4 linked regions of the Diceros bicornis minor genome follow. The protein of the gene in region 2 purifies or fractionates together with the protein of the main gene of each other region. This does not show direct contact. Links are inferred from orthologs where the notes say so. Each region holds a gene or a part of one and is shown on either strand. Other genes may lie near its edges. The genes, in order: KRI1, LIN28A, KRR1 and IGF2BP3.

The links.
Region 1: the proteins of LIN28A (region 2) and KRI1 purify together in Homo sapiens (affinity purification with mass spectrometry; 3 studies listed by BioGRID and IntAct, with this or other methods). This does not show direct contact. The link is inferred for Diceros bicornis minor from reciprocal best matches to the Homo sapiens genes LIN28A and KRI1.
Region 3: the proteins of LIN28A (region 2) and KRR1 purify together in Homo sapiens (affinity purification with mass spectrometry; 3 studies listed by BioGRID and IntAct, with this or other methods). This does not show direct contact. The link is inferred for Diceros bicornis minor from reciprocal best matches to the Homo sapiens genes LIN28A and KRR1.
Region 4: the proteins of LIN28A (region 2) and IGF2BP3 purify together in Homo sapiens (affinity purification with mass spectrometry; 4 studies listed by BioGRID and IntAct, with this or other methods). This does not show direct contact. The link is inferred for Diceros bicornis minor from reciprocal best matches to the Homo sapiens genes LIN28A and IGF2BP3.

The regions. Positions count from the first base shown.
Region 1 is NC_080769.1:8,701,079-8,708,457, reverse strand, and holds the start of KRI1 (protein KRI1 homolog), read right to left. Parts: upstream 3,002-7,379; 5' UTR 2,987-3,001; coding exon 2,893-2,986; intron 2,781-2,892; coding exon 2,707-2,780; intron 1,968-2,706; coding exon 1,862-1,967; intron 1,555-1,861; coding exon 1,446-1,554; intron 1,127-1,445; coding exon 1,072-1,126; intron 997-1,071; coding exon 947-996; intron 686-946; coding exon 589-685; intron 512-588; coding exon 434-511; intron 153-433; coding exon 22-152; intron 1-21. Other genes in the region: CDKN2D (cyclin-dependent kinase 4 inhibitor D), read right to left, coding at 4,064-4,423, 5,468-5,608.
Region 2 is NC_080752.1:42,286,980-42,294,490, reverse strand, and holds the start of LIN28A (protein lin-28 homolog A), read right to left. Parts: upstream 3,008-7,511; 5' UTR 2,917-3,007; coding exon 2,886-2,916; intron 2,417-2,885; coding exon 2,232-2,416; intron 1-2,231. UniProt on the Homo sapiens protein: RNA-binding protein that inhibits processing of pre-let-7 miRNAs and regulates translation of mRNAs that control developmental timing, pluripotency and metabolism.
Region 3 is NC_080764.1:43,844,322-43,851,454, reverse strand, and holds the start of KRR1 (KRR1 small subunit processome component homolog), read right to left. Parts: upstream 3,007-7,133; 5' UTR 2,774-3,006; coding exon 2,689-2,773; intron 1-2,688. UniProt on the Homo sapiens protein: Part of the small subunit (SSU) processome, first precursor of the small eukaryotic ribosomal subunit.
Region 4 is NC_080742.1:48,762,397-48,770,241, forward strand, and holds the start of IGF2BP3 (insulin-like growth factor 2 mRNA-binding protein 3), read right to left. Parts: upstream 3,009-7,845; 5' UTR 2,351-3,008; coding exon 2,176-2,350; intron 838-2,175; coding exon 777-837; intron 769-776; exon of another isoform or gene 1-768. UniProt on the Homo sapiens protein: RNA-binding factor that may recruit target transcripts to cytoplasmic protein-RNA complexes (mRNPs). This transcript 'caging' into mRNPs allows mRNA transport and transient storage.

The sequences.
Region 1 (7,379 bases), on a different chromosome or scaffold from region 2:
CTGGGGGACATGGCAGCTCACCCTTCCTCCTCCTCCTCCTCCTCCTCCTCCTCATCTTCCTCCTCCTCATAGCGCTTGTTGAGGATGTAATCCCGCAGGAACTGCTCCCCTTCGTCCAGCTCTGGGTTGTTCCAGTATTCTTTAAGGTGACTCTGGGGGTGAGGGGGTGACAGGACCCAGGTCAGGGACTCGGGAGCAGGGAAGGAGGGCGGGCACGGGCACCAAGCGGATTTAAGTAACTTAAATGTCACGGCCAGCCTATGAGTGGCATTATCCCCATTTTACAGATGTGGAAACTGAGGCCCAGAGAGCGGCACACCCCATCCTCAGAGGATATGCCCTTGGCTACCCTCTATAGCGTTGGTTTCTGGGAAAAGGTTGGATGGAGATGGGGCAGGATATAGTTCTTCAGTGACCATGCACGGGAACTCACCAGTTCTTTCAAGGTGTCCAAGTTCTGAATCTCCTTCTGCCCCTTCAGCCATTCGACGTAATCGGCATCCTCCTGGGCCTGGAGGAATGCCGGCGCTGAGGGTCTGCGGGAGCCCCAGCGCCCCCTCCCCGGTCCAGCTGGGCCCCAGCACCCACCTTCTCCTCCCTGGTTTTAGCACGTTTCTGCAGCAACCCAGAGCCACCTTCCCCGGCGCTGTCCTCTTCCTCGCTGTCCTCCACGAACGCGCGGAAGCTGCCCACACAAGAGAACAAGCCTCAGGGTGGGCCGGCTGGCCCTGCCCACTGCCCCGAGATTAACCCCGACAAGCTCAGAGCGGTGCTGTGACACAGAGAGCATTATCAACCTCATTGAACAGATGAGGCAACAGAGGCACAGAGAGAGTGAGTGACGTGCCCAAGGGCACACAGCCATTAAGTGACAGAGCTCGATTTGAACTCAGACCCATCCACCCCAGACGCCTCAGCTCCTATCTGCTCAGCAGCCCAGGCTCACCTTTCCTTGAGCTGTTTCTGTTCTTCCACGTAACTTTTCGACGAGACCTCCTGCGGAGAGAGTGACGTGGCCTCAGGCCCAGCCCTGGGCCCCTCAGCCCCCCACCCGGCCTCCACCCCACCCACCTGGAGTCTCTGACTGGAGGTCTCCCCATCTGAGTTCTCCTCGTCAACATATTTGCTGTGCAAGGAAAGATGGAGGCTTGAGAACAGACCCCCCAAGGCCTGTCTGTCCCCAGGGGGCGGGGAGCTGTAACCAGCAGGAGCTGGGGTACACGGGGATCCTCATTTTCAGTGAGTCGCCAGCTCCTTCCCACTTCGGCCCCTAAGACCCCCAGGGGGCCACCCCCTGGGGATAGGGAGGGCTGTCTGGCCCTCAGGGGGCTGGGGGACAGGGCTTGGGTGCTCCCATGGGGTGTGCTGGGTTCGGGGGTAACCCCACCCACCTCTCCACCTGCCCTGGGAAGGCTGGGGGCAGGGGAGTCAGGCTTTCTCCTCACCCTTCTTTCTCCAAGATCACCTTCCTCTCATAGTCCTTCAGGTACATCGGCCGCATCTTCTCGGGCTTCTCCTTGGCTTCGGGCTCCTCCTCGCTCTGCGAGGACAATGCTGCGGGGCCACCAGAAAACCCGCCATCACCCACAACCTCCTGCCTTCCCCAGGCAGAGAATCCCCCTGGGCTGGGCCGGATCGAGGTTTCAGATCCCCAAGCCACCAGGTCCTGGCTGTACAGCAGGATCCCACCTGGCGGTGACTGTTCAGTGAGTAATTCACACTCAGAACAGCCGTTATTAACAACAGGTAATACTCTAAGACACTCTGCTAAGGACTTTTGGAGTGCAATGATTCATTAAATAGTAACTACGGCTGGTAAAGCGATGAGGGACCTGGGCGTCAGACAGGAGCAGCCTCAGACCTGGCTTCTGATAGAAGGTGGCATCTTTCTGGTAAATGCGGGGGTCCCTCTTCTTCAACAAGGAGAGAGTCCTGTAAAAGTCGCGCTCCTGCTGGGGGTCAAACTCCTAAGGCAGGAAAAGGGATGGAGGGAGACTTGAGAAGGGAGGTGGTGAGAGCCCTGGTGGGGGCGGTGATGGGGGGCAGTAAGCAACCAGGGCAGGTGGGCTGAGGAGGTGGGAATTAGGGTGGAGAGAGGAGCTACATTAGGAGGAAGGAGGGGGGAATCCTGCTGGGGAGAGGCGGGTGGGGGGCTGGAGAGCTGGGTCTGAGTGTGTGTGGGGGTCAAACAGGTGGAGGAAGGAGAGGCGCCCTCTTGGGGGTGGGCGGGGGCGGGACACACATAGATACAGGATATGAGACAGAGAAGGTAGCGGACAAGGGGAGGGTACTTCCTGGGACGACAGGAGGTTGACATGGGGCAGAGAGGACACAGGGGGACAGCAAGGAGGGGCTGGGCTGCACGGTGAGGCCGGGAAGAAGATCGGGGCTGATGTGGGGAGAAGCTGGGCGCCCCAGGCGGCAGAGGGATGCCGCACTTTGTGGACAGAGTCGGAGGACACTGAGAAATGTGAGACTTTTGGGGATGACGAAGGGGGACGGAGGGGTGGCACCTCACACATCAGGATGGGTAAGTGGATCCGTGGCGGGGGAGGGGAGGCAGGGGGAGATTTGGAGCCCCCTGGGGACGGGAGGGCGCTGTCTGTCCCTCATGGGATTGGGGGCGGGGGCTGGACGCTCCCGTAGGGCGCGATGGGTTGGGTGGTACGTCGGGGTTGGGATGCGGGCCGGGGCGGGGAAGCTCACCACGCGCTCGTCGCTGGAGTCAGACTCGGAGCTGGAGTCGCCGCCGCTGTCCCGGTCCCCGTAGCGATCTTTCACTGCGGGGCAGAGAGGAGAGCCCCCCAGATCAGCCTGGGGGGACCAGATCGCCCCCACTTCCCGAAGGTCCCGCACGCGCAGGCGCCCCGCGCGCATGCGCCCCGCACTCACGCCGCTGCAGCTCCTCGCGCTCCCGGTAACGGCCGTACCGCGCGGCGAAAGCCGCGTTCACCCGCAGCGCCGACGACCCGCGCGGCTCCGGCATGGCGGCTCTGCGGCCCACTGCGCACGCGTGCGGCGAGCTGCCCTGGAGGAGGCGGGGCTGCCCAGGCCCCGCCCACCGCGAACTTTAAAGAGGGCGGGGCCTAGCTGGCAGTGCCTAACCCTGCCCCCGGCCCTTCCGGGATCCCTTACGCCCTGTGCCCGCAGTCCCCGCCCACGGGTCACACCTCTGCGGGGAAGGCTGCGGCCACCGCCCACCCCCACCCCCACGGCTCCAGGCACCCAGCTGACATCTGGGGGCCCTTTCTCCACTCGCGGTTTCCTGCCTCCTTTCCGTTCCGACAGCGCAAACCGCTGCCCCACCCAGCTCACTCACCCTGGCGCCCTGGGAATTACCACTCTCTCCCCTCCCCCAAATCATCCGAGACCCGCGACCCCCGGGCCTACCCCGCCAACATCGCGGACGCTCGACTCCCCGCTGCAGACTCAAAAATCACAAGCCACCGGCGCTGTGGTCACGCACAAGTCTTAATTTAATGGGTAAAAACATTAAATTATCACACACAACAATTTTTTCCATAAAGCTTAATAAATAGAATCTTTTTTTCTTTTTAACGCTGTACAAGAGACTGGAAAACAAGCTTCCAACAGAATATGAATGAACTCATACTACCCTTTTATTGATTTGGAATACTCCCCCCTCCCGCCATGCCCGAAAGCAGTGTGTACATTCGAGGTCTCTCTCTGGGTACAGCCGGCCAAGGTCGCCAGGTTCCAGGAGCCCTGGACGCGATGACCTCACTCGGGCTGGGGCTTTAAATGCTGTGCCCTTGGGCCTCATCTGCAGCCCCAGCAGCCTGGGGCGTGGAGGAAACTGAACCGTTTAAGTGGTTGCTGCCTGCAGGAGCCCTTCTCTACTCAATACACCAAAAGGGGTGAGAAAAAGAAATGAGAAATGCCCCTCAAACACACACACTCTAGAAATCAACACCAACAAGCCACAAACTGGGGCCCCTCCCCCTCGGCAGCGGTCAGGAGGAGCTGGGGGAGAAAGTGTTTCTTTCCTCCTCTTCTGACATGGAACCCAGCCGGTCCTGACGCTGGGGTGGGTGGCGCCGGGTCACAGCGGTGCCACCGTGGGCCCCTGCAGTATGTCCATGAGATCCTGAGCCCCTCTCCCCCGAGCCAGCTCCAAGGGTGTGAGCCCCCTGGCGTCCCTGTGATGGAGATCAGACTCAGCAGCCAGGAAGCTGACCACAGCCGCGTGGCCCTCCCGGACCGCCAGATGGATGGGGAGCGCCCCGGTGCCATCGGGTGCGTTGACATCAGCGCCATGTTCTACCAAGACTCTCAGCGTGTCCAGGAATCCAGTGCGCGCTGCGTCGTGAGCCGGAGTGGTGCCGGAAGCGTCTTGGATGTTGGGGCTGGCACCTTGCTTCAGGAGCTCCAGGGCAATCGTGGGGCTGCCGAACATCATGACCTGTGCGGGGCAGAGGGGCGGGGTCCTCAAGGGAGGGGTTCCAGGAAAAGGGGTCCCTGGAGAGAGGGGTCATTCAGAGAAGGGAACGCCAGAGAAGAGATCCTCTAGGGAACGAAGAAACCCCAGGGAACACAAGCCCCCGGGGCAGCTGTTTGAGAACAAGGAGGCCAGAGAACAAGGCCTCCAGGGAACAGGGACTCCAAGAAACTGGTCACGCCCCTAAGAATAAGACACCCGCCTAGGGAATAGCCCCATGGAAACTTTCAAGGAATCTAAGACCCTCCCCAAGGAACCAGAGCCCCCCCTCCTCTAGATATGGGAAATCACCAGGAAATAGGCCTCCTAGAATGAGAAATTGTCCCCAAAGAATTTGACAGCCCTCTCAAAGGAAAGGAGATGCCCAGGGAATTTGACACTCTTTCTCCAAGAAACAGCCCCGCCCCATATAATGGGGATGATCCCGGGTACCTGGCCCCCTCAAAAAATGGGGTTCGCCTGTAAAATGTCCCCCAGGGGATAAGAATTTTCATGCAATCTGCAACTGTTCCCCCATTAGGACCCCCTATAATATACCATGAATCTGGGGGGGGGGAGACAACAGGAATGGAGATCCGCCCCAGAAAACTGGATACGTCTAAGAGAAACCCCCAGAAAATGGGGACGCCCTGGAGACATAAATTCCTCCTTCCAGGGATCAGATGCCCCCATAGAAGCCCCAAGAAACCAGAGCCGTCCCCATGAAACCGAGATCCAAAGAAACCGAACCCTTATCCACGGAATAAGCACTTCTCCAGGGAAACTGAATCCTCCGCACTAAGAAAACAAGGAGTCCTCCAGGGAAGATGGGAAGCCCTCCCCTCCCCCACCAAGCTCATCCACCATCCACCTACGAAAGGGGACTCCAAGGAGCAACGTCGGCCCGAGAATGGAGGCTCGGACCCCAGTCGGCCCCCGCCGGGGCCAGGAGACGGGAGGGAAGGGGGCCGGGGTCCCAGTCCTCGCCCCGCTCCCCCCTGCCCTGGCTCGGGGCCGGCCGGGCCTCACCTGCAGCGCCGTCTTGCCGAAGCGGTTGAGGGCGTCGGGGTGCACCAGCTCCCGGTGCAGAAGGCGGCGCACCTCCTGCACGTCGCCTCGAGCCGCGGCCCCGCTCAGCCGGTCGCCGGCGCGGACCTCCTCCAGCAGCATGTCGACGCGGGCGGCCTGCGAAGCCCCCCGCCCCACCGCGGCGCGATCAGTGCGGGGGAGCCCGGCGGCGTGGCCCCCACAGCCCTCCCGGCCTGCGCGCGGCTCCCGGCCCGGCTCGCCACTCGGGGGCTCCGGCGCGACCCCCGCCCTCCCGGCCAGCTCCTCCCACTGTCAGCCAGCGGGTCGCGAGGGGCTGGGAGCGGGGCCCAACCCTCCGCCGCCCGCAGGGCCCGGCCCGGCGCCCGCCCCTTGGGGGCCGGGTCTCCCCCCAACTCACCCTCCCTCCTCCTCGACGGGCGGGGTCTGTTCTGAGCCGGCGCCGCCGCCGCCGCCGAGCTGGCCGCCAGGGGGCGGAGCCAGCGCGCCCAGGCCCCGCCCCCGAGCGCCGCCGATTTGTTTTCTTACGAACTCGCTACACTGTAGCCCCAGCCGCGTTGCCCTGCGCAGGGCCCTGCGGCGCACCGCCCACGCGGCCGGCGTAGCCAATGGCGACGCGTCGCCGGGGAGGTTTCGCGTTCCGGCGTGGGCGGCGCCGCTCCTGATTGGCCGAGCCGCGGCGACCGGTGGACCGCCGGCAATGGCGGGGTTTTCGGTTTTCAAACTCGCCGGGCGGGCGGGAAAGAAGGCCGGTTTAACTGACCCAGGGGAGAAAGGTCAGGGGCAGAGGAGCGCGAGCTGCGCCGGGACCTCGGCACCTCCGGGGGGAAGGGAGGCAGGGCTGGGGCCGCCCGGTCCCGGGTTCCAGCACTGAGTCACGCGATGACATTTATTCGCCGTTACTATGCGCGGAGCGTTTAATTTCATTCATTCACTGCGCGCAGGAACCGTTCCGGGCGTGGGGAGCGCACGTTCCAGGGACTACGCGGGTTTAGATGGCGTTAAGCAGCGCGAAGAAAATAAAAAGGGAAGTGTGGTGAGCGAAGGAGGAATCACGTTCTGGCCCAGACTGAGCCAGCCCTGGCACAGCAAATGCAAGAGGGAGGGAGGCTCACGCTGCGGCTGCCACGTGGGCGAGCCTGGGTGGCGAGAGTCGCGGTGGGAGGCCTTCATTCGAGCATTTATTGAGCACCTACTGTGTTCTAGGCGCCCAACTGGAGAGCGAGCCGGGTCGGGGGGAAGGGGGGCTCCTGCCGCAGGATGCCTATCGTTTAGGGCGGGAGAAGACAATTAAATCTTTTCAGAGTGGTAAATACTCTGGAGCTGATAAAACAGGGTAAGTGATAGTCTCTGGGGAAAGGAAGCCGCTGAAATAGGTCAGGGAGGGCCACCCGGAGGAGGTGACATTTGATTTGAGGCCTGAAGGTGAGAAAAGGCGCCGTGTGGATATCTGGGGAAAAGCATGCCAGGTGGAGGGCAATGCAGATGCAAGGGCCCTGAGGTGGGCCCGTGCCTGGTGTGTCCAGGAAGAGCGAGGGAGAGAGAGGGAGGAGCTGAGGGCAGGTGGTGGGGAGGAGGAGTGCAGCTCAGGCTTGTGGGCTGCGGTGAGGACCCGACTTTTACTTTTAACAAGATGGGAACCGTGGGAGGTTTCTGAGCCGAGGAGCCAGGATCTGACTTAGAAGTTCGCAGGCGCCCCCTGGCGGCTCTGAGGGGAACTGACTGTGGGGGAGGGGAGGCGGGAGCCTGGGGACCGAGGTGGTGGCAACTTCGCTGGCCCAGATGAGCGATGCCCAGGGCTGAGGAATGGATATGTTGCCCACTCCCATCCCAGCACTTAAGGGGCGTCCCTGGCATCCCCGGCCCCCAGCCAAGAAGACATGCGCAGCGGCTA
Region 2 (7,511 bases):
GGTTTGAGAATCAACCCAAGCTCTAGTCACATGCTTATCGTAAAGACAGAGCTGCCAGGTAAGGCTCAGGAAATTTCCACCAGTCCTCTGTGACTGTTTGGGGTGGGGAGGAGGGGGGGGTGGTGGTGGTAGACAAATTCTTGATTCCTTATCCCAGCTCAACTCCCTCTTGATAACTTATTCAACTGTGGAATACCCCTGGACATTCCAAAACCCCAAAGTCCAGATTATCTCCCAGCTAACCCATCTGAAAGAGCTTGGTGTGGGCTCTACTCCCCAAATCTGAAGGTCCCTGCTTTCCTCTATGCCATCCAATAGACTCCCAGTTGCTTTCGATCCTGTTTAAGTGGGCTGAGGTGTGGATCCATTTGCTCAGGAAAATCTTCCTTGGGATTTGGATAGCACCAAGGAATCCTAGATGATGAGGGGCTACGTTCCCCTCAGCCCCTCCCTATTTAGCAGCCTTTAGAAGGAAGGCAAGATGTTGGGTCTGACTCCTTTATTCCAAGCCTCCCCAAATTGGGGAAGCTGTCCAGTCCATCTCCAGACCAGGAGAGATTTTAATCTCTTTGTGATCAGATAAATGGGAGAGTGGGGGAGCTGGCCACCCCGCTGAGGAGGGCCATTCAAAGCTGGTTCCTGTAATAAAGTGATTTAATAGATCTAAAGAGGCCAATTCCCTTCTTTCTCCCACAATTACTTCCTGTGGGTTATCATTCACATATGTAAATGAGACAGGGAGGGGGCAAAGCCACCAGCCAGAACTACATGTCTGATGGGAGTAAGGGTGGGGGAGGAACAGGGTGCAGCAAGAGGCTAGCTAAGCATCCTGCTGCAGGCCCTCCTGGCAGATGTTCCAGTATCCCAGTGACCCCAAGTTGCCAACATTTACTGGCGGGTCCCCATCTCCCTTGTTCCTCCCCACCATGTTGTTGCTGAGAGCTGTGCTTGGAGACTTCCCTGCTGCCTCCAACTAGTCCACCCAGCATCTCCCTTCTCCACCCCTCCCCCTCCAGAATACCATCCCTCAGGCTCCAACTCTTAATCCCCACATCCTCCTTTCCCCTCCCCCACAGCTCCTAAAGCCAACCTCCCCGAAGTAACCCCTCCCTGCCCGGCCTGGGTGTCAACCTCCTGGACCTGGGATTAGCAATTTCTTCTTCCCATGTCTAGCCCCAAGCTCCAAAGCGGGAAGGGACACAGGCAGCAACTTCCTTTACATGGTTGTTACGGGTGGCTGGTGTCCCAGGACCACCGGAATGCTTCTAAGATATTCAGGATGGGGTGAGAGGAAGGGGAGGCCAGGGAGGAGGGAAATGTTAAGTCTCTGACTCCTTGTTTGAGGCCAAGAATGTTAGGACAGCAATCAACGGCTGTCTGGGGCCATAAATGCCAAGCCAAGAATAGGTCCAGAGGCTAGCCTCCCTCCACCCGCTGCCCTGCGACACTGAATTTCACTCCCACTGGGTTGCCTTGCTTTAACTGAGAACTTGGGGTTGCAACCTAACTCCCTCCCAGCCTGGTCCAGGAATCTAAGGCCTGGGCTCCTTAGATTTTCCTTCCTGGTAGGAACTGGACAGCAAAAGCCACCAAACTGGACAGCCGGTGAACTGTGTTGTGTGCCTGAGATGGGTCCTCCGGAGGAGCTTTCAAGTCACCAAATAGATCCTTCAAGAATCTGCCAAACCCACCCAGGTCCCAGGGCTTGAGTTTTGGGTGACTACCTGGGTGAGGAGACCTGGTTGATTTCTAAGCTTTACCACCATTGGGTCCTGGAGCAGGGTTTCCTCCCTCTCACTCACCCAGGGAGCTCCATTCACACGTTAGTGAAAGGCGCTGGGCACTCAAGGCCCTGCTCTGGCCAGGCATGTGCTTCCCTGACCAGCCTGCTCGCCCTCCCCCCACCGGCAAGCACAATACAACCTTAGTTTCTGCCACATGGGGTCACCTCCCTGCCCCCTGGCCCCTTCCCAGGGGAAAGAGGTAAAAGACACGTGGTAAGCCAGAGGGGTTCCCGGAAGGGGTGGGGGGTGCTGATAATCGGCTCTGCCCTGCACTCCCGTCCTGTTGGAGTTACCAGGGACTCAGTACTGGGGTGCCACGGCAAAGATGGGAACGCACAATGAGGGCCCTTATCTCCCTCAATCCAATTAACCGAGTCTGCCCGCCTACCCTAGGATATGCGCGCCAACATCTCCTTCCCCCGGCAAAGTTACCAGAATTGGTCTCACCTGGTGCACAAAGACATCCACTGGGGGGTCGAGCGCGACCCCGGCGCGGGCGGTCATGGACAGGAAGCCGAACCCCATGCGCACGTTGAACCACTTACAGATGCCGGCACCGTGCAGCAGCTGGGGCTCCTCTGCCGCCCCAGCCGCGTCCTCCTGCGACTCCTCCGGCGCCTTGGCGCAGCCACCTGGAGATTGGGAGGGCGCTCAGCTGGGGGGCCACGGAATTCGAGGGCCCTCTCAGAGACCCGGCAAGGAGACCCCAGTGTCCAGCCCGCGTGGGTGGTCACCCAGGAGGCTGCAGCTACCAAGCAGCCAGCGAGAAACGACCTGTCCTGGCCGCCTTCCGTGCTCCGCAAGCTTACACTGAGGCCAGTGGTGCCCCAAAGTTTTGCTCTTCTTCCCACAACATGCTGCTCGGGGACAGACAGCCAGACAGTCCCCGCCTCGTCTCTTTCCCCCCGCATCCCCCTAGCCTCGGACTGCACACTGCTGGGACACCAGGGTTCCTTAGTCCAGGGATGGCCCCCTGAAGCAAGAGGCTGCCTGGACTTGGGGTCCTTCGGCCAGCCTGGGGACACTTTCCCACCTCCCTTTTATGTGGCTCCTGGGCGCCCCTGCAGCCTAAGGTGTCCCCAACACGTCCCACGCTCGAACCTGCGAACTGCTGGTTTGACACAGAGCCCATGGTAGTCGACTGAGCCTGCGGCCCGGGCCTCTGGTCCGGCCGCTGCTGGCCCCAGAGAAGTCCGGAGGCAAAGGGGTGGCTCGGAGAAGAGGCTGCTACATCTTCCCCAGCACAATAGCGGTGGGAGGGCCCACGGCTTTTCAAAGGCTCCCAAATTCTAAAAGACAATGACCCAACCCCCCACGGGCAGCCCCCTCCCCTCCCCTCCCTCTTCTTTCCCCTCCCTTTCCCTCCGGCTCCAGCTCCGGCCCTCCCCCACCGCTGCGGTCTCTGACACCTCTGGGGTGTCCCTTCTCAGAACCTTGAGGTTTGACACCCCCTCCCCACACACACATCTGGAGACGGGGGCGTCAGACCTAGAAGTCTTGACTACCCCGGAATTTGGGATCTTGCACTTTAAGGCCTTCAGTGGGGGTCCCCAAAGCAGCATACAGGTGGGGGGCCTGTGGGGTGGTAGTTTTAAAACCACGTGACTGCTCCCCCCCACATTCACACACCACCCCCACCCCCGCGCAGATAATTATACATTCCAGAGAGTTGGGGGAGGGAGGTGTGAGCCTGGCAGCGCTGGCCAATCAGAGACACAAACCACCTGTCAAGGGAGAAATGGATGAGCCCTCCCCCTCCCCCAGCCCTTAAGCTCCCCTCCCCCTCCCTTCCCCTTCAGGCCTCCGAGCTGACCCGGCTGCTTGGCGCTGACCCGCCCTCACCCCCCACCCTCGTGTGCTTAGATAGACCTGGAGTTCAGGACACTAGGAAGCCTGGAATAGGGAAGCAGCGGGGAGGCTGGAGACCCAGCAGGGCTGATCTCTGGTCCTTTCCAAGGCGCTGCCTCTCAAAGTCTGTCTGTCTCTGACTAACTGAATGCCTCTGCCTCCCTAAGTTTCCGACTGAGTTTTTCTGGATCTCTCAAAGCACTCCTAATTGATTCTGTGTAAAGAATCCTTCCCTCTTTCCTTCCAAATCTGTCTAAAATTGGTCCCATGTAGAGCTCCCTGGGAGAGCAGTAGGAACCCAAAGAGGCTTGTAGTGTGTTCCTCTCTGCCAGCCGCCCTCATCTTGTCCCCATCCCCACCCTGTCCCTTTCCCTTGCTGAGAGAGGGACTAAGTGGGTAGGCGAGTGGAAGCATTTCCTCCAGTACTCCAGACACTCTTAGGCTCCAGACCCTCCTGGTTTCAGAGTCCCATCCTAGAGTGTGCTCCCCTCCCCATAGTGGAGTTGGTGGGGGGAACTGGAGTGAGAGATCTCCTCATTTGAAGAAGTAGCCTCCCCTTCTAGGAGATAAAGAGGGTTGGCCAGGGGGGTGGCTAGTGCCCTGGTCGGAGATGGACAATGGCCCCGGGGCTCAGAGCACGGCCCTGGCCCTGCCCCTTCACTTCCGGTGCTCGGTTCAAACTGGACAATGCCAGCTCCGGCCAGTTCCCCTCCCCCACTGCTACGACCCATTTAAAGGGACAGAGCCTGCTTTCGGGGGCGTCCGCTTGCTCTGAATTCAATCTTCTCCACCAAATGTGCAGAACCTCTCGTGCTTCTCATCCTGTGCCCGTGTGTGTTTGCGCACGTGTGTATTTGAGAAAGAGAGAAAGGGGATGAGTGGGGGTAGGGAAGGGGAGATGGGAAGCAGAGCAAGGAGCTGTGGAGAGATTATTTCTCCCTCTTTCCTACATGGAGCGCTCTCCAAGAGACTAAATTTAAGTGTAAGGGATGGGGAATATGACTTTGGGCAATAAAAAGGACAGCGGCGGCCTTTTGCTACTCAGCCTAAGAAATACATATCATTAACAAATATCGTTAGCAATGCTCCACTCCCAACTGAGGACCCTAATTTAGATCTTCCAAGAGTTCTCCAAGTACATCAGCCAAAGCATTTTTATTTATATAATCCTCCCCACCTAAGAGTCTTATCTCCTCCTGTTAGTAGCGCCCTTAACATATATTCATTCCCCTACCTCTGTTCCTAAGATTCAGGAGCAGGTGACTGACGTCTGGCTGAAGAAAAGAGAGGGAAAAGGGAGTTTCGCTTGGTCCACTCGCAAGAGAGATTTGTTCCCGCGGCAGGCTTGACCAGCTTCTCTGTCCAGGGTCCTGAGGGCTCTGGGAGCTCTGTCCACGGTGCTGAATAAAGCCACGCTCTCCTGGCTCTCAGCTCCCAGCTTCGAGAATGCCTTTTTGAGTACTCACCTCCAAGTCCTTCCCAGAAAACCTGATTCTTCTCAAGCTCCCAGTGACCCTGATACACTTGAGATGAATGAAGGAACTTTCTTGAGTGCTAAAGAGAGGGCATTTCCAGCAGTATGTGATTCTGTGAGAGCAGTGCAAATATCTCAAGCTCCTCTTCAGAAAAATGGGTATAACTATGCATTTGGCTATAGAAGGTGAAGGAGAAAGTGATAATATTTTATGATTCAAAGAAAACCAGAGTAGAAGAGAGACTAATCTCTGTTTTCAAATTATTTTCCTAATTATTAGCGCTTTCCTTAAGAGCACGGGCATTGGAGTCGCTTGCCCATGTTTGAATATCACCTCTAGTATTTACAACTCTGTGACTCAGAGCAACTTTTTTAACCTCTCTATGCCTCAGTTTCATTCTCTGTCCAGTGGGGATAATGAGAATATTTAACTCTTAGAGTTATTTTGAGGATAAAGTTAGGTCATGTAGGTAAAGCTTTTTAAATAGTGCCTGCCTGATAATTAGTTCTTAATAATGTAAATTATTACTATTATTATAGCTATTGTGCACATGCTTGTCTCTATGATCTAGAACCTGCTGGATCATTTGCTCCCTGAGGACTGGGACCGTTCATGTGTTATTTCTTTCTGGATCTTCTCCCACATCCTTACCAGTATGTAGCATAGTGCCTGGCCCACAGAAGACACCTAAAAAGAGTTTCCTGGATAGGCTTTTGTTGAAATAATGAATTTTATTGCAATAGTCATAATATTTATTCTCCTAGGCTGCCCCTTTCAAGTCTAAACAATACAAACCCAAGAGGGGTTCAGGAACTCTTAAAGTTGCATATGTGGAGGCAGAGGATGCTTTAGGAAGGGACACATGGCTCCCAACATAATTGATTCTTCATCCCCAATGGGTTGTTTCCATGTGGAAGATGGGAACTCCTGACCAAACCTTCTTCCTCTCTTGGGTCCACATCTCAGGGAAAACTTAGTAAGTACCTACTATGATCCAGTCATTGTGCTAGCTCACAAGTTTGGTGGAGGAATTGGATAAGTGATATGCACTAAATAGTATGATGACCAAAAATGTACCCCCCAAAAGCAAAGAAGAAACATTCCCTGCCTTCCAAGAAGTTGCAGTCTACTTAGGGAGATAAGACCCGATATAGCTAAGTATTGCGAGTTTCTTCTGTATTGGTTTCTGGGAATAGTAATATCTAGGTAAAAGGAAAAAAAATGGCTCTTTAGACAAGACAAAAGTGTCCAGTATCAACACAAAGAACATCTCCCCTTTAAAGTACTTTGCCAAGTTCCTCTTGTGTAGGTTCATATCTTCATAAAAGGAAGAGCTGAAAGAGGTCTGAGTAATAATAACTCATTCAACATTTAAAAAATATTTATTGAGGCTGGTCCAGTGGCATAGCGGTTAAGTTCGCACCCCTGCGGCCCAGGGTTCGGAGGTTCGGATCCTGGGTGCGGACCGACGCATCACTTGTTAAGCCATGCTGTGGCAGCGTCCCATATAAAGTAGAAGAAGATGGGCACAGATGTTAGCCCAGGGCCAATCTTCCTCAGCAAAAAGAGGAGGATTGGTAACAGATGTTAGCTCAAGGCTAATCTTCCTCACAAAAAGAAAGAAAGAAAGAAAGAAAAATAAAAAATAAAAAACATTTATTGAGCACTTCCTCTGTGGCAGGCATTGTTCTAAGTCTTGGAAATACATCAATAAAAAATGCAAATGAAAATCCCACCTTTGTCGAGCTTATATTCTGATAGGTAATAATAATAATAGCTATTATTTGTCAAGAATAAAGGCACTTTTCTTATCTCATTCAACCCTTTCAATATCTCTGAGTAATAGGTATTAATATTCCCACCTTACAGGTGAGGAAACTGAAGATTAATGAATCAACAGAGCTTGCCCAATAATGTAGCTCAGCTAATATGTGGCAGAGGCAGATTTGAACCCACATGTTTGACTCCAAAACTCACATTCTTTTTACAGTCCTAGTATGTTGTTATTGTAACTGATGCTGTCCCCATTTTACCAATGAGGAACAAGATATGTGGAAGCCAAAAGGCTGTGGAAGGAGACTATATATTCAATATGATTGGTAAATAGGACTCAAGCCTGTGATTCCTTTTCCCCGGGTCAGAGCTCTAGTCTGTCATTTCTATTGATCACCCTCCCCAAAACTCCTTGGCTTTCTAAATCAAAGAGCTGGCCAGAGCCAAAGCAGGTCCTCTTTTAGGCGATCATCTACATCCAGCTCCCATTTCTGAAGCGTTTTGAAAACTCCGTGTAGGATCCAGAGTGGTTGTTTGGAGGTAAAGCCCTGACCATCTGCTAACATGAATGATGGAGTGCATTTGAGAAAAGTATTTCCCACAGTGTGTCCCTCAGGATACTAGTTCCACG
Region 3 (7,133 bases), on a different chromosome or scaffold from region 2:
AAAATCAGTTGCATTTCTATATGCTAATAATGAACTAACAGAAAGAGAGCTCAAAAAGATAATACCATTTACAATTGCATCAAAAAGAATAAAATACCTAGGAATAAATCTTACCAAGGAGGTGAAGGACCTATACAATGAGAACTACAAGACATTATTGAGGGAAATCTACGATGACATAAAGAAATGGAAAGATATCCCATGCACGTGGATTGGAAGAATAAACATAGTTAAAATGTCTATATTACCTAAAGCAATCTACAGATTCAATGCAATCCCAATCAGAATCCCAATGACATTCTTCACAGAAATAGAAAAAAGAATACTAAAATTTATATGGGGCAACAAAAGACCCCGAATAGCTAAAGAAATCCTAAAGAAAAAGAACAAAGCAGGAGGCATCACAATTCCTGACTTCAAAACATACTACAAAGCAATAGTAATCAAAACAGCATGGTACTGGTACAAAAACAGACACACAGATCAATGGAACAGAATTGAAAGCCCAGAAATAAAACCGCACATATACGGACAGCTAATTTTCGACAAAGGTGCTAAGGACATGCAATGGAGAAAGGAAAGTCTCTTCAATAAATGGTGTTGGGAAAACTGGACAGCCACATGCAAAAGAATGAAAGTGGACCATGTGCTATTGCCATTCACAAAAATTAACTCAAAATGGATCAAAGACCTGAAGGTGAGACCTGAAACTATAAAACTCATAGAAGAAAATATAGGCAACACACTATTTGACATTGGGTTTAAAGGAATCTTTTCGGATGACATGCCTACCCAGACTAGGGAAACTAAAGAAAAAATAAACAAGTGGGACTTTATCAGACTAAAGAGCTTTTATAAGACAAATGAAACCAGAATCAAGATGAACAAACAACCAACCAGCTGGGAGAGAATATTTGCAAAACATACATCTGACAAGGGGTTGATCTCCATAATATATAAAGAACTCACACAATTGAACAACAAAAAAACAAACAACCCGATCAAAAAATGGGCAGAGGAAATGGACACTTCTCCAAGGAAGATATACAGATGGCCAATAGGCACATGAAAAGATGCTCAACATCACTAATCATCAGGGAAATGCAAATCAAAACAACACTAAGATACCACCTCACGCCCGTTAGAATGGCTATAATCACCAAGACAAAAAACAACAAATGTTGGAAAGGATGTGGAGAAACAGGAACCCTCATACACAGCTGGTGGGAATGCAAATTGGTGCAGCCTCTATGGAAAACGGTATGGAGATTCCTCAAAGAATTAAAAATAGAGATGCCCTATGATCCAGCCATCCCACTACTGGGAATCTATCCAACGCACCTGAAATCAACAATCCAAAGAGGCTTATGCACCCCTATGTTCATTGCAGCATTATTCACCATAGCCAAGAAGTAGAAGCAACCTAAGTGTCCCTCGACTGACGATTGGATTAAGAAAATGTGGTATATATATACAATGGAATACTACTCAGCCATAAAAAAAGATAAAATCGTCCCATTTGCAACAACATGGATGGGCCTGGAGCGTATTATGTTAAGTGAAATAAGCCAGAAAGAGAAAGACAAACACTGTATGATCTCACTCATATGTGGAATATAAACCAACACATGGACAGAGAAAACTGGACTGTGGTTACCCGGGAAGTGGGGGTGGGGGGTGGGCACAAGGGGTGAAGGGAGTCATATATGGGGTGATGGACAAACAAAAATGTACAACCCAAAATTTCACGTTAGAAACCATTAAAATATCAATAAAAAAAAAAAAAGCAAGAAACAGAAAAATGCCTACAGTCCTCGTTCATTTATATAAAATTCAAAAGCAGGCAAAATTAAAGCATCTTGCGCATAGGTAGTAAAGATGATGGAGAAGAGAGCGATCAAGACGATTCAGAGGGTGACTGACGTGCCGGAGGGGGAGAACCCCACGGAGAGGCTGCGGGGCTCGCGGGCGCAGGGACGCTCTCTTCCGCTGGACGGCGCGGGCCCTGCTCACGTGCGGGTTGACGCCTGCGCGGTGCGTATACTGCGCTGCCGTGAACGCTCCACCACGAACGACGCCGCCCCGTCAGCACCTCCCTAACGCCTGCAGAGAGCGAGGTCAGGCTTTTAACCCTTCAGTAGGACTGGCTGCTCAGGCCCGGGGCCCTGTCTCCAGCCTCTTCCTGTCATTCACTCGGAAGAAAACAGACAAAACCAGACGCCACAGCGACACGTCAACTTAAAAGTGGGGCAGCCTCAGGAGCAGGAGCCGTGTCGTCTGACGGACAGGAATAACGGAAACGCTTCCACACCTCCACTAACCGACACGCCGGGTCAGGCCACGCGGCCGTGTCCGCCCCGCATCCCCGCGCCTGTCCCACGCCCTCGGGGCCGGCGCTCCCGGACACACCGAGCTCCTCCCGCGTCCCTCAGCTCGGCCACGCCAGCCGCCGCCCCCGCGCGCGGTCCCCGTCCTCACCGGTTCACAGAACACCCGAGGACAAGCAATTAGTCAGGAACACGTGGCCGGACCACACCGGCCAGACCCGGCCGCCACCCCCAACCGTCAGCAACTGTGGCCCTCCACTTCCCAGAGCGGACTCAGGCGGCGTACGCGTCCCCGGCCAGCCAAAGACACAATCGCGCCTCCACACCCAAACCCCAGGCTTCGCTTCCCACACACCCCCACCTCGGTTCTCCGGCTTCGGCTTCTGGGTTCGAGACTCACTTTTCCCAGCCGCCGTGGCTGGGCCGTTCAGTGAGGAGGACGCCATCTTCAAATTGCTTCCGGTGTTACCGGAAGTGACACGGTTCTTAAATCCTACCGGACTTAAAAATCCCTCTACTCAAAATGAGTTCCGCAGAACTCAGACGAGGAGATGTGCGCAGTCTCCGTTCGTGCGTACGCCTGAGCCCGCGGAGTTGCTCAGTGCAGCGCTTCTCGTGCGTGGCCCGTGGAGAGCCGGAGAGTTCGTTTCCGGGGTTCTTTTCCGCGCTGCAACTGCGGAGTTTGACTGCATGCTGGGAATTGTAGTTCCGCACTGTGGGAACATTGAGGGCTGTCGGATTTGTAGTTTTCTCGTGGCCCCAGTGTCTAACCCGGGACGTCGGACTTCAGGGTTAGGGCACCTAATGCTATCGTCATTAATGTCACTTATTCGTTCATTCGATATAATGTCACTTATTCGTTCATTCGATAAATATCTTATATAATCATCAGGTAAGTCTTAGGAGTTGGGAAGAGGTACAAGTATGAGAATATATGGTTCTCGACAGCAAGAAGTGACGGTAATAACTACCATTTGTTTGTGCCTGGCACTTTATTTGCATTTCTAATCCTTAGAACAAAATAAAGTTAAAACAAATCTCTCCAAAATTGATAATTTTTTGGAGGGTAAGTTTTCAAATCCTTGTTTCTGATGGTAGTTTTCTTGGGTCTTGATATTTAGCTGTCTCCGCCGGAGAGGTAGTAATTAAGCGACACTCCTGAAGTGTTTCACCTAGCCTAAGATTTTCCGAAATGACAAACTCCTGTCTACCCCAGCACTGCATATGGCTGACTTCAAGGTGTGAAATTCATCACTGCTACAAGTGTTTACACTTCTAGGAATCTAAAAGTTCTTACACATGGTAAAGATAGGACTTCTTTTGATGATTGGTCTTATTGCTTGACTTTTCTAAAATTTCCTGCAGCACAACTAGGGAAAGTCTTTGATAGGTTGAATTCCTTGTGTTAGTGAAAGGAGGAACGTTTATCTGAAATCCACCCTATGTATCTTCTATAAAAATTTAGATTTCCGTATATGAGGTACATGTATAAAACAGACTGTTACTTGGGAACAGAAGATCCCAAGACACATGATTATGTTAAGATCTTTGCTTTTATCCTGTGTCTTAAAAACGACAGTCAGTGATTCCATTCCTATAGTCTTACAGTTTGCTCAAAAAGCAATGACAGATCCGTATAGTGAACAAATAACAACAGGTGAAAGTTAAAAAGTGAGAAGCAATTCCTTTAATGTTCCCAGAAACTCTATGAAGCAGGGTTGTATTATCCTTATTTTAAGGAACTCAGTCGCTTATAAGTGGTGAGCTAGACTTCGAGTCCAGGCAGTCTGACCATTAGCACCTCCAGAAAGGCTACTATACTAAAGGATTAATTGTTGCAAATGTGTCAGAAGGAAGGCTGGGTTTTCAGCCTCACAGCTTTTGGACTTGAATTACAGCATCAGCTCTCCCCTGGGTCTCCAGCCTGTTGGGCCACCCTGTAGATTTTGGACTTGCCAGGAATCTATAATTACTAATCTATAAGTTTGTGGAGAATCTTGACTAATACAGCAATTTGTAAGAGTAAATCCAAATGGTTGATGAACATATGCTGCTCAACCTTACTATGGTCAAAAAAGCATATAGACGTAACAAGGAAATATCACTTCTCACCCACCAGATTGGCAAAAAAGAAATAATAAAAAAATTTTTTTAAATGATAATCTACTGGAGGAAAGGGCACTGTCATACACTGCTGGTGGAAATGTAAACTGTTACTGCCTCTTTGCAAACAATCTATCAATATAAAATATACACATATTCTTCCACAGTAATTCCACTCCTGGGAAACTGTCAACTAGAAATAAAGCATCATTCCATTAGAATGTGTGTACAACTGTGTTGATTACTGCCTTGTATAGAAGTGATTCAGTGAAAGGTGCTTTGGAGCCACACTGACTGGTTTGCCACTTAGTGGCTATATAGCCTTGGGCAAATTTCTTACCACCCCTGTTCAATTTCCTACGATGGGGAGATAAACTTTACCTCAGTGACTTTATACATGGAAAATGCTAAAAAAAAAAATACTTTGCAGGTTGTACTGATACCAGCTCAACACAAGATCCACATAAGGGAAGCCATATTGTAGAAAAGAAACAATATTGTAACTTTGAATGACCTCTGACTAACTCTGCGGATTTTATGGCCCCTCCCAGCTGCTACAAGTTGATAACTTTGTTCTCTTGAGTTCCTTAGGAATGTGATGACCCCTGGGCAGAGAGTCTATGCTGATAGCCATCATCAAGGACAACTGAAAGATCAGGGTAGAGGGCTTTGCTCTGGTCTCTGATGCATATCCAGTAAAACAAAGACTGCCAGGAACTAAAACCAGATGGTTGCCCCCACCCGGAGACCAGATGGGTGTCCCTACCCAGAGACCAGATGCCTCCACCTGGAGATCAGATGCCTCCCCCACCCGGAGACCAGCCCTCTATATAACTGGCCTGTAGTCTTTGTTCTGGGAGATGGTTCTTTCAGACATTAGTCGGCCATGTTCCCCCTTGCTAGCAAGCTGTAATAAACTGCCCTTTCTCTGCCACCATCTTGCCTCGTGATGATTGGCTTTTGTCTTGCGGCGAGCAGATCGTGCCCTTTGTGTGGTAACAGTACTCACTCAGTGAGTGTTAGCTGTTATTTATTTATGGTGGCAAAAATGTAAAAGCATCTTGACTATCAATTTGGGATATAGTTAAATAAATTGATGTTACCTTCATAACTGTGAGCTATTACATAGCCATTCATAAGAATTAATTAAATCTATATGGAAGAGATGAACTAGAAGCATTGAGTGATAAAAGCCAGATACAGAAAGATGGGATAATAATTCTATACATTTTTATATATAATTATATATATATCTCATTTTTATATTTTTATATAATAATTATATATTAATTATCTCATTTTTATAAAGCAAACCATTCATTCATGCAATAAATAGTTATTGAGCATCTGTAATGTTTCAGGCACTGTTCTAAATACTTGGTTCTTTTTTATGTGCTGGACATAATAATAATTATATGTGTGTGTATATGTGTGCCTATATATGTATATGAATATATTTGTTTACATGTGACTGTACAATGGGAAAGATTTGGAAGGATACATATCAAGCTTATAAGGCTGGCTACCTTAGGGATGAAGGCAATTAGAAAAGAAAAATGAAGTAGGCAAAAAGAGTTAAAAAAATAGGTATCCATGATAAAAACAAGCGTGCACATGACCCTGTTTATATCACACTGTCTGTTTGAGTGTGCACAGGGAAGTCTATGAAATGATGGTCACCAAAATGTTGACCATGTTACTTCTCAGTATAGAGACGTTACAAAGGATGGCAATTTAAATAACAATACAATTGTAAATCAATCACAATTTACATCATTTTATTTTAACATCCTTGGAAATCTGAATATAAATATGTACTCAGATCTGCAAGGTTATTTTCAGAAATTGTACAAGTAACACTAAAAAGGGAAAGAAAAAACTAAGGAGTTTCTTGTCACAAACCTGGGCTGGGAAAGTCCTCTCTGTGTCACAGCAACAGCAGGCAGACCCATTTTGCTTGTGACTTCTCCCTTCCTTGGCCTCATAAACAATCTAGACCCACATGCAGCCATCCTCCTACAGATGACGAGTTCCACCAGCTCTTACCCTGCTTATTCATTTTCCCGTGAAAAGCAAGTTGGCCTCACAACTCTCCTTTGGAATTAGAGACCTTAATTCCCACAAAATTAACCCAGAGGGTAGTGGGCAGAGAAGTCAGAATGTGGCTTAACAATGTTGGGGGATGAAGAGTGCATTTATCTCTTATTAAAAAGAGTAGGAAAACTGGGCAAATAAGTGTGATTTATTTTCCGTTTAACATTTCTGCACTCATTTAACAGGGATAAAAATGATTTTTGCACAGTAATCTATGTGGGTTTTCTTCTGCTAATTTTTTTTTAAATAAGCAATCAAGACAAGTTTTCTCAAATACATAGGATTGACACGTTTTTATTTTCTAACATACATAAGCTACTTTCTATTCCAATTGACCTCACAGCAAGGTGTGAAATCTTCAATCAACATATCTCTATCAACATCAGTAACGCTAATAACAACTATGGCTGTAAAATAAGGCCTGTTCTAACTCCATAAGATTACATATTAAAAAGGATCTAGGGGTAACAGTTGAGAAGGGAAAAGCACAGTAAAGCAGCCTAGCTGTAAACTAATCATGTTATTAACCTATCTTTAGAAAAATAATGTCAATAAAAATGAAGTGTTCTGCATGAAAGTCTAGGAAATCTGGGAATCTAGGAAGAGACT
Region 4 (7,845 bases), on a different chromosome or scaffold from region 2:
ACACATGCTCTCCGAAAAGTACAATTCCCTGGCTTAAGTGGCACAAATCAGCGTTCACGATCTCTTGGTGGTTATTTGTAACCAAAAATATTTTCAGGGGCAGTGGGGTGGGGTTGGGGGGAGCGGGAGACCAAGGCGCATTACCAGAAACCTGTACAAACTCTGGAGTGACTGAAAGGCGCTTCTGGGCAGGAGAAGCCCAGGCGTTCACTCACGTGTTCCAATCCCGGCTATCGAGCTAACAGGGTAAAGGCAAATTCCTCTCCTCTCAGATGTGCGGATGGCCTCCCAGGCCTCTCAGACTCGTCGCCGCCAACTCGGGACAGAGAAGGAAAGACACGCCACCCCCGCGCGTGTCTGCAGCTGCTTTCGCCTATCCCGTACTTATAGAAGTGGAAGGGGGTTACGCATTGCTTCCAAATTCCTACAGATTCCCAAAAACTGCCCTCTGAGACTTTGATTTCCTGTTGTAGCAACTTAACCTACTCTGCCGGATAACATTTAGCTATGAGAGCTTCCTTGAGCGACTTGCATACCAATAACAACAATCCAGTGGCAGGGGCCACAGACAAGCCTTCCATTTCTTTGCAGTATTACCAACACACACACACAGACACCTGCCATAAACTTAAGTGCAAGAGAAAAAGACGAGAAACGCCAAGCCATATAGAAACCCAATAAGCATAAAAGGAAAAGACGTCGTTTTCAGCTGTGTTGGGTCTTTTCTCCCAAAAGAGTGAGAACAGAATCAATGAGAACATAATAAATAAGCTCACCTCTGCCTTTTTGGGACCGAGTGCTCAACTTCTATGAGTTTCCCGTGCAGTTCCACTTTACCTGCGAATACACAAGAGGTGGAAGACTGTTGGCCGAGTTTAGTGGCTCTCCCGGCCCAAAAGACCCGCACAGCCTAAGCAGCGACACAAGTGGCCTCCAGAGACCCCGAACAGCATCCGGACGCGGCTCGAAGCCGAGAGAGAAGCCCGGCACCTCACGGGTGGGAAGCAGACACCCTCAGGGCTGTGTGTGTGCAACTTACAGATCGGTGGGGAGGGGGATCAATGGGCGGACCCACTCCTTGGTAACATTCTACCCCCGCCCCGGCCTCCCCCGCCCACCTCTGGGGGTCGCCCAACCCCACAACACCCGCAGGACGTACGCTGCCCCTCTGCCCACCTCCCCGGGCCTTCCCATAAGACAGACCCTAGGGAAGGGGCTACGGTGCCTTTCTTCAGGTGGGGACGCCCGGGCCCTTCTCCCAGGTTCAAGGCGGCCGGGACCAGAGTGGCGGGAAAGGCTCGAGGACCGCAGGGTAGGCGCAGGAAGAGCGAGCGCCCCGAGACATCTGAGCACAAACTACGCCCGAAAGGCACGGGGCTCCTGGAGGGCCCCCGAGCGCAGCTTTCCCCGCCCCAGCCCGCCGCTCCGCCACGCACCGGCCCCCGCCCTCGCCGAGAGCGCCCCGCCACCCCCGGAGGCCGCAGCCTGTGGCCCGGGCGCGGAGAGCGGCGGGCCGCCCGGCACCGCAGCTGGGCTCCCTCCCCGGCGACCGCCGGCCGCCCCCGCCCTCCTGCCCCTCTCGCTCGTCCGACGCGGGGAGGTAGAAGGAGGAACCCAGGTCGCACTCGCCGCTTCCAGCCGGGTGGAGAGGAAGCGCGGGGCCGCCTGCGCGAGGCACCGGCCCGCGGCCTCACTCCGCAGCGGGGTCGAGGCCACTCCACGTTCTCCCACTGCCAGGGGCTGGGGCGGGCGGCGGGCAGCAAACCCCACGGCATCAGTAACGAGCAGAGAGAGGAAGGGAGGAGGAGGGAGAAGCCGGCGTTCGCGCCCGGCCCCCAAGGCCCGGCGTGCCGGAGCCTGGAGCATTCGCCCGGGCCCAGGCGGGGCGCGGGGCGAGCGCGGAGGAGCCGGCGCCGGCGCTTTCTGACAGCGCGTCGGCCCTTAGCCCGCAAACGCGCTGGGAGGGGAGCCGCGGGGGGCCGGGTCGAGCCCACGCTGAGGAAAGCGCCCGGACCCACGCCGGTGCGCGCCCGGGCCTCGCCCCCTCTCCGGGCCTCGGGCCCTGTGTGGACGCCCCGGCGGCAGCCGCGGGCCTGGCTCCCGGCCCCCGACCCCGGCAGGCCCGGGCGGCGCAGGGCTGGGGCAGGCGCCCCGCGGGGCCAGGCCGGGGCCCACCTGAAAGCGCCTCGATGGCCTTGAGGGCCCAGCTCTCGTCCGGACAGTCCACGAACGCGTAGCCCGTCTTCACCAGGAAGGGTCCCGACACCGGGATCTTGGCGTCCTTGAAGATACTTTCTAGGTCCGAGGGGACGGCGTTCTCGCTGAGGTTTCCAATATACAGTTTGTTCATTGTGAAGAGCGGTTGTTTAAAAAAATTGAGAGAAACGAAAAATTAAAACCACCCACAGTGATGGATGGATCCGGTGGGTTTTGTTCCCCTCGTCTTCTCGCCGCTAAAATACCCAAACACAGTCAGAACCAGGACAAGAACGAGGAGCGAAAAATCAGATCCAAGGGTTCTTGTTTTTCCTTCTCTAGATATAAAAAAAAAAGAAAAGAAAAAGCCTTGCTACAACCCAAACGCATCAACGAGTCTTCCTAACTCTGAGGAGGAGGCGGGATTATCGAGAAAAAGGAGGAGAGGAGGGGGGGGTCAACTACTTTTTGTCTCTTCCTCCCCAACCCCGTTGGCATAGGCCAGCGGACGGTGAAAATATCACACTACGTGAGGGCAGGCGCCGCCTCCCCATAAAAAACCCCGAAGGGTGACTGGCAGGAGCGAGGGGAGGAGGGGTGGAGGGAGGAAGGCGCAGGAGGCGGAAAAAATCCGCTCCGAGTGTCCGGCTTTTTGAATAAGCCACGTGTTCAAACTACAAATCAACGTCTCACGTGAGGAATCCCAGCTCCTCAATTAGAGGGGGTTTCGAGGGAAAAAAGAGCCAGCGAGAAGAGGAAGAGGGGGAGGGGAAATGAGATTGGGCGAGGGACCCTGAGAAGGGAAGGAGGAAGAGGGCAAAAAAATGCTAAAGGAGCCGCAGCCGGGGCGCAGAGGGGAGCGCGGCTCCGGGAGCTGATTGTCACAACAGAGTTTAGAAAGGGTTATCTGGTCGGGGCGGATCCTGAGGGGGAGGGGAGGAAAAGGGGAGGAATATTGATTTTTTTTTTTTTTAACGAGATAGGGGTAGGGGTGCTAACTAGGCAATTTCTCAGCTCTAGTTACCGGACTTTTAAATACGTATTCGATTTTTTAAAATAGGTAATTAACAAAACCAAGGAGTCACAATTCCGAACTCCCCTTGTGGCTTTGATGACATTAGAAGTGTAACCTCGGCAAAGCCGCGAGCACGTTTCCAGGGCTTGCAGGGGCGGAAACGCAGCGAGGGGGTGGGGTGCGGTGGGTGGGGGCGGGAGAAGCGGCAGAGGCGCCCTACCCTGTGCACCCTTCACGGGCCCGGGCCCCGGGGAAGTGGGGCGGCCCCGAGCCGGGCGGTGGGGGATGGGAGCCCGCGGCGTCCTGGGCGGGTGTCTGGGCGACACCTCCTCCGCCTCCGCCTGCGCTCGCGGTGGCTCTCGGCTTCGCGTTTGCCATTGGTTGCTCGCTTCAGACAAGGCTCTGGGATAAATGAGGCCGGGGGCGGGCTTGGCCACCGGTGGGGGAGGGGAGCGCAGGGGCGGAGGTTTCTGGCGTGGGTATGGGGGCGTCCCGGGCCTCGGAGGCCGGAGAAGAGAAGTCAGAGTGGGAAAAGTCGGTATTTAAACGGAAACCATTTCTTCCTGTAGTTTCCAGAGGAGGAGGAGTGGGGTAGGCTGGTACTTTTATTTAAAGAATTTTAGTTGGAGAACTTGGGACTCTTAAAACAGGAAGACTGCTCTGCGATACCCCTAGGTGGTATTTCGCACTTGAAATATTGTTCGAGTCTCTTTCTGCCTCTTTTTTGCCCACATTTGGCCATGAGAACCATTCATAATTTCCCCTGTACTGTATATAACGAGGACAATGGTGGGTGTTGGGGGGAGGGTCTGGGCCCAGTGGAGCCTTCTGGGCCAACAGACTGGACTGGAGACGAGGAATACGGAAATGAACGCCGTGCTGGGGTTCTTGTGGAAATCTCCAAGTGTCGTTTAATGATTGTGTACTCCACTCAAAGGCTTCATTTGCACCAGATACTTATGGTGCATATTTAACAGGTATTCCATGGAAAAGATATAAAATGCTTATTTTTAAAAAGTGAATGAAATTCTATATAGCATGGAAATATAAACAAGAATCTTTAATGTCTTGGTACGCTCTCTAGTAGAAAAATGTGTAATAGAAAAATATGGAGATTTACACTGAAACATCTTCAGTAATTATGACAATTGATATAGTTCTTTTCCCTTTGTCAAACCCTCACACGGCATTTTAAAGTGTATATTTTCCAATTAAAAGATGAATAGTAGATTAGTGTTTTAAATATGTGGGAATTATTGCATGATGTAAAGAGTATACACATTTTTTCTTTTAAAAGGAACTTATTTTAGAATTTTGTGTTAAGGAACCGGAAGGTGTCAGATCATCCATTTTAAATGCAACTGCTCTTTCTTACAGGTTTTTCTTTCCTGCCAAGCAAATCTAACTTTTTAAACGTAAACTCACTTTCACAATATTTTCATTCACATTTGATTTAGTGAAATGTCTTTAATTTTTGAGACGGAGGGGACAAACGTGTTCTTGTGTAATAATGTTTAGAATTGTATTATGAGCTCTATCTTGAAAGAACATTTTGGTGGTAAAATTTTAAGTTTATGGTTAGGTTTAACTTTTTAAAAGAGCTTACTTATTTTTCCTTTTTCATGTTTTTTTAAAAGAGAACTTTGGTTCTAAAAAAGAAAAGATATGTATTCTCCCTTTATGACTTCTGTGGTATTCAAAATGTAAATGTCAAAAATTATGAATTTATTTTCCATGTACCTGTTGCATGTGATCAAAAGGTATTTGGAGAAATATGCTTTTCATTCATTTAGTAATATTTGCTTTTCTAAATGCCTCTTTAAATTTTATAAACTAGTCTGATCATTTAACTTTTAGTAATTTTTCAAAAGAACAAATTTTATACGTTCAGCTTGCTTCCAAAGTCAATTGAATGGTGCTTTCTGGATTGTTGACTATTTGCTCTTATTAAAACTGAGATCTAAAGAAATATCTACTTCTAAAGCATGGGATAAATTGTTTTGTTTTTTTTTTTTCATAAATACTAGCCCTTGCTTGTCTGTCACTATCAAACAAATCTAACAGCTGGAATTTAAAACAAGTGTGTGCTATTTTGATGAAATATGTTCCTGGGACTCTTGTGAACTTAATCTGTGTATTATTGTAACACATTGGATACTCCATCTAGGACCTTAAAAACATACACGAGTTATATAAGCTCAGATATCAAAAAAGGAGGTGGATACAGTCTACTCCACTTCGAATCTTCCAAGTATTTGAGGAATAAGTATATACTCAATGGCTGAGTGAAAAAAAGCATGGGTAAATTGTTTTTTACTGGCATTTCAAGTACAAAAATATCTTTGGTGGATTTTCAACAATGAATGTAAGGTCAAACCAACTTCCAGTCTTTTAATGAGTCTCACATAAGAAATTAACCATGTACATGGGCTACTCCAGGTTCGTCCTGGAGCAGTTGCAGCTCCTAATTAATGTTAACGCCACGAAGGAATCCCACCCATTGTATGTGCTCTGATGCGGCTGAGCCCTTCCAACTGCAGCCTCTTTACTCTTTGAAGAGCTGCACCTCCTCCCTCTCTGCTGACCTGAGGGCAATAAAAATGTTTCTTATGGGTCAGTGTAATATTAAAGAGGAAAAACTGTTTAGAAGGTCGGTTACCGTTGCTGTATCCACAGGTTATGAGCGAAGGTTGAGCAGGTAGAGCAGGGGGAAAGGGCATTCTTGTTGCTACCCCTCCGAACTCCCAGCTGCCTCTGAGACCAGCCGAGAGCCTAAGTCCTTAACGCGGGTGGGCACACAATGCCCGCCGCGTCGCCTGGGCCTCATAGGAGGTGTTTTTAACATCCTCTCGTTCCTTCGAACAGCTCTTCTGGACTCTGATCTGTTTAAAGCAGATGCGTGATAAGTGGTAACCTGGTTCTGCACTCTCTTCGGAACATGCCTTCAGTTATTTTTGTTTAAAATCAAAAATAGTGCTCCAGGAGATGAGAAGATGGGGTTGTTTCCTTTTTCCCCTGGCTCTGCCGGGAGAAAAGAGGGCGGGATCCTTGCAGTTCACACTGGGGAAGATCCTTCGTCGTCCGCTTCCTAGCCTCGGAGGCCCTCGACCACTGGACTGCCCTGGCCCTGCCGCGGGACAGGCGCCTTCTGGCTCCGCCTCGGGTTCTGTCCCTCCGCGCGGAGCTGCGTGGACGAATTAGCCGTGGGGGCCGCGGGGAGCCTCTATCGTTCCCCTCACAGCACAACTCCACCTGAGGTCGTCCTTCCCCTGCGCGCGCCCGCCCGCGGGCCGCGGGGGCGGATCAAGCAGCGAGTGTTTGGCTACCCTCCCGAACTTCCGGCCTGTTTCGAGCGTGCAAGAGGCTCCCTGGTGCTGGGGGATGCTCGGTACCCACGGAGAAAGACCCCCGGGAGCCTTGCTGAACCCTGCGCCTTTGCCGGAGGCGGGGCTGGGCAGCGAGGCGGGTGCACAGGGCGCGCAAACGCAGCCCCGGGGCGGGGTTTCGCGCTCCACGGGGCCGACTCGCCGAGACCAAGTTGAGCAACCGGCGTGGAGAGAGACGCCGCCCCTAGCTGGGGAGGGGGCGGGGGGGGGCTTTTTCTCTCACCCGATTGGTGGACAGAGGAAGCCTATCATCGTCGGCTGCCTCCGCCGGAGCCGTTTGCTGGTTTCCATTCATTGGCCCCCCGAGCCGCCCCTGGATTTCCATCTTTTGTGGCGCGAAAATAACCCTTTGCTCCCTCTCATTGGTTTTGTTTTCTTGAGGGGTGAGATTGGCTTCTCCTGTTCGTGCTCTCATTTTTCCTGCCCATTAGCTGTGAGCCCCCAGCCCCAACCCTTAAGGAGGAAAGAGGGAGGTAACTAAGGAAGAGTAGGGAGTAGTTGCGTGCGCGAGTGGAGCCCGCCCCTTGGGCTGACCGCGTGGTGCCGGCAGAGACCCCTCCCTTCCCCCAACGTCCAGCGCCGGGAGGTCGTGGGTTTGCGCCATGCTCAGCAGCTGGAGTCACATCATTTCCCTGCCCCTTTCCAGCATCTTGGAATTTATACGTCTTTTTTAGTTAGAAAGACAAAATACGTTTCCAGATGGCTGAATTTTCCTGGGCTTCTAGAGAAATCGACTCATTCTGCCCCCTCCCTTCCTAACCCCCTTTGTGGTCCACAGGGTTGTTCTAAGCAAAACTAAACAACCTCTCCAAAAAAAGCAAACGAAAAATTCCGGGTAGAATCAACTATGCGGAGACCACGTTTCGTTGAAGCTGCCCTAAGACCAAAGAAGCTGAGACCGACCTTGAAGGATTAGCGATTTCTGTAGCTGAAAGGTGCTAATTTTACTGACGTTTGGTGGAGACGGTGAGAAAAAATAAATATGAATTTGGCTTGGAAAAGCACAAAACAAACGAATAATCATTTAACTTTAACTGAAAAAGCTAACAGCTACAGTGCTGGATTCTAGGTAGTGGTGTTTTGGGTGCGTTTGTAATTATATACATAAGCTGCTATTGGTCTTCTAAAAAATAAAGATCAGAACTCTGGTCATGACAGAAAAGAGGGAAGTATAAATTTGTTTGGTATATCTAACTTCATAACAGACTTTCCAATTCTTTCATTATCTAAGGAAAAGGAAATGTACCA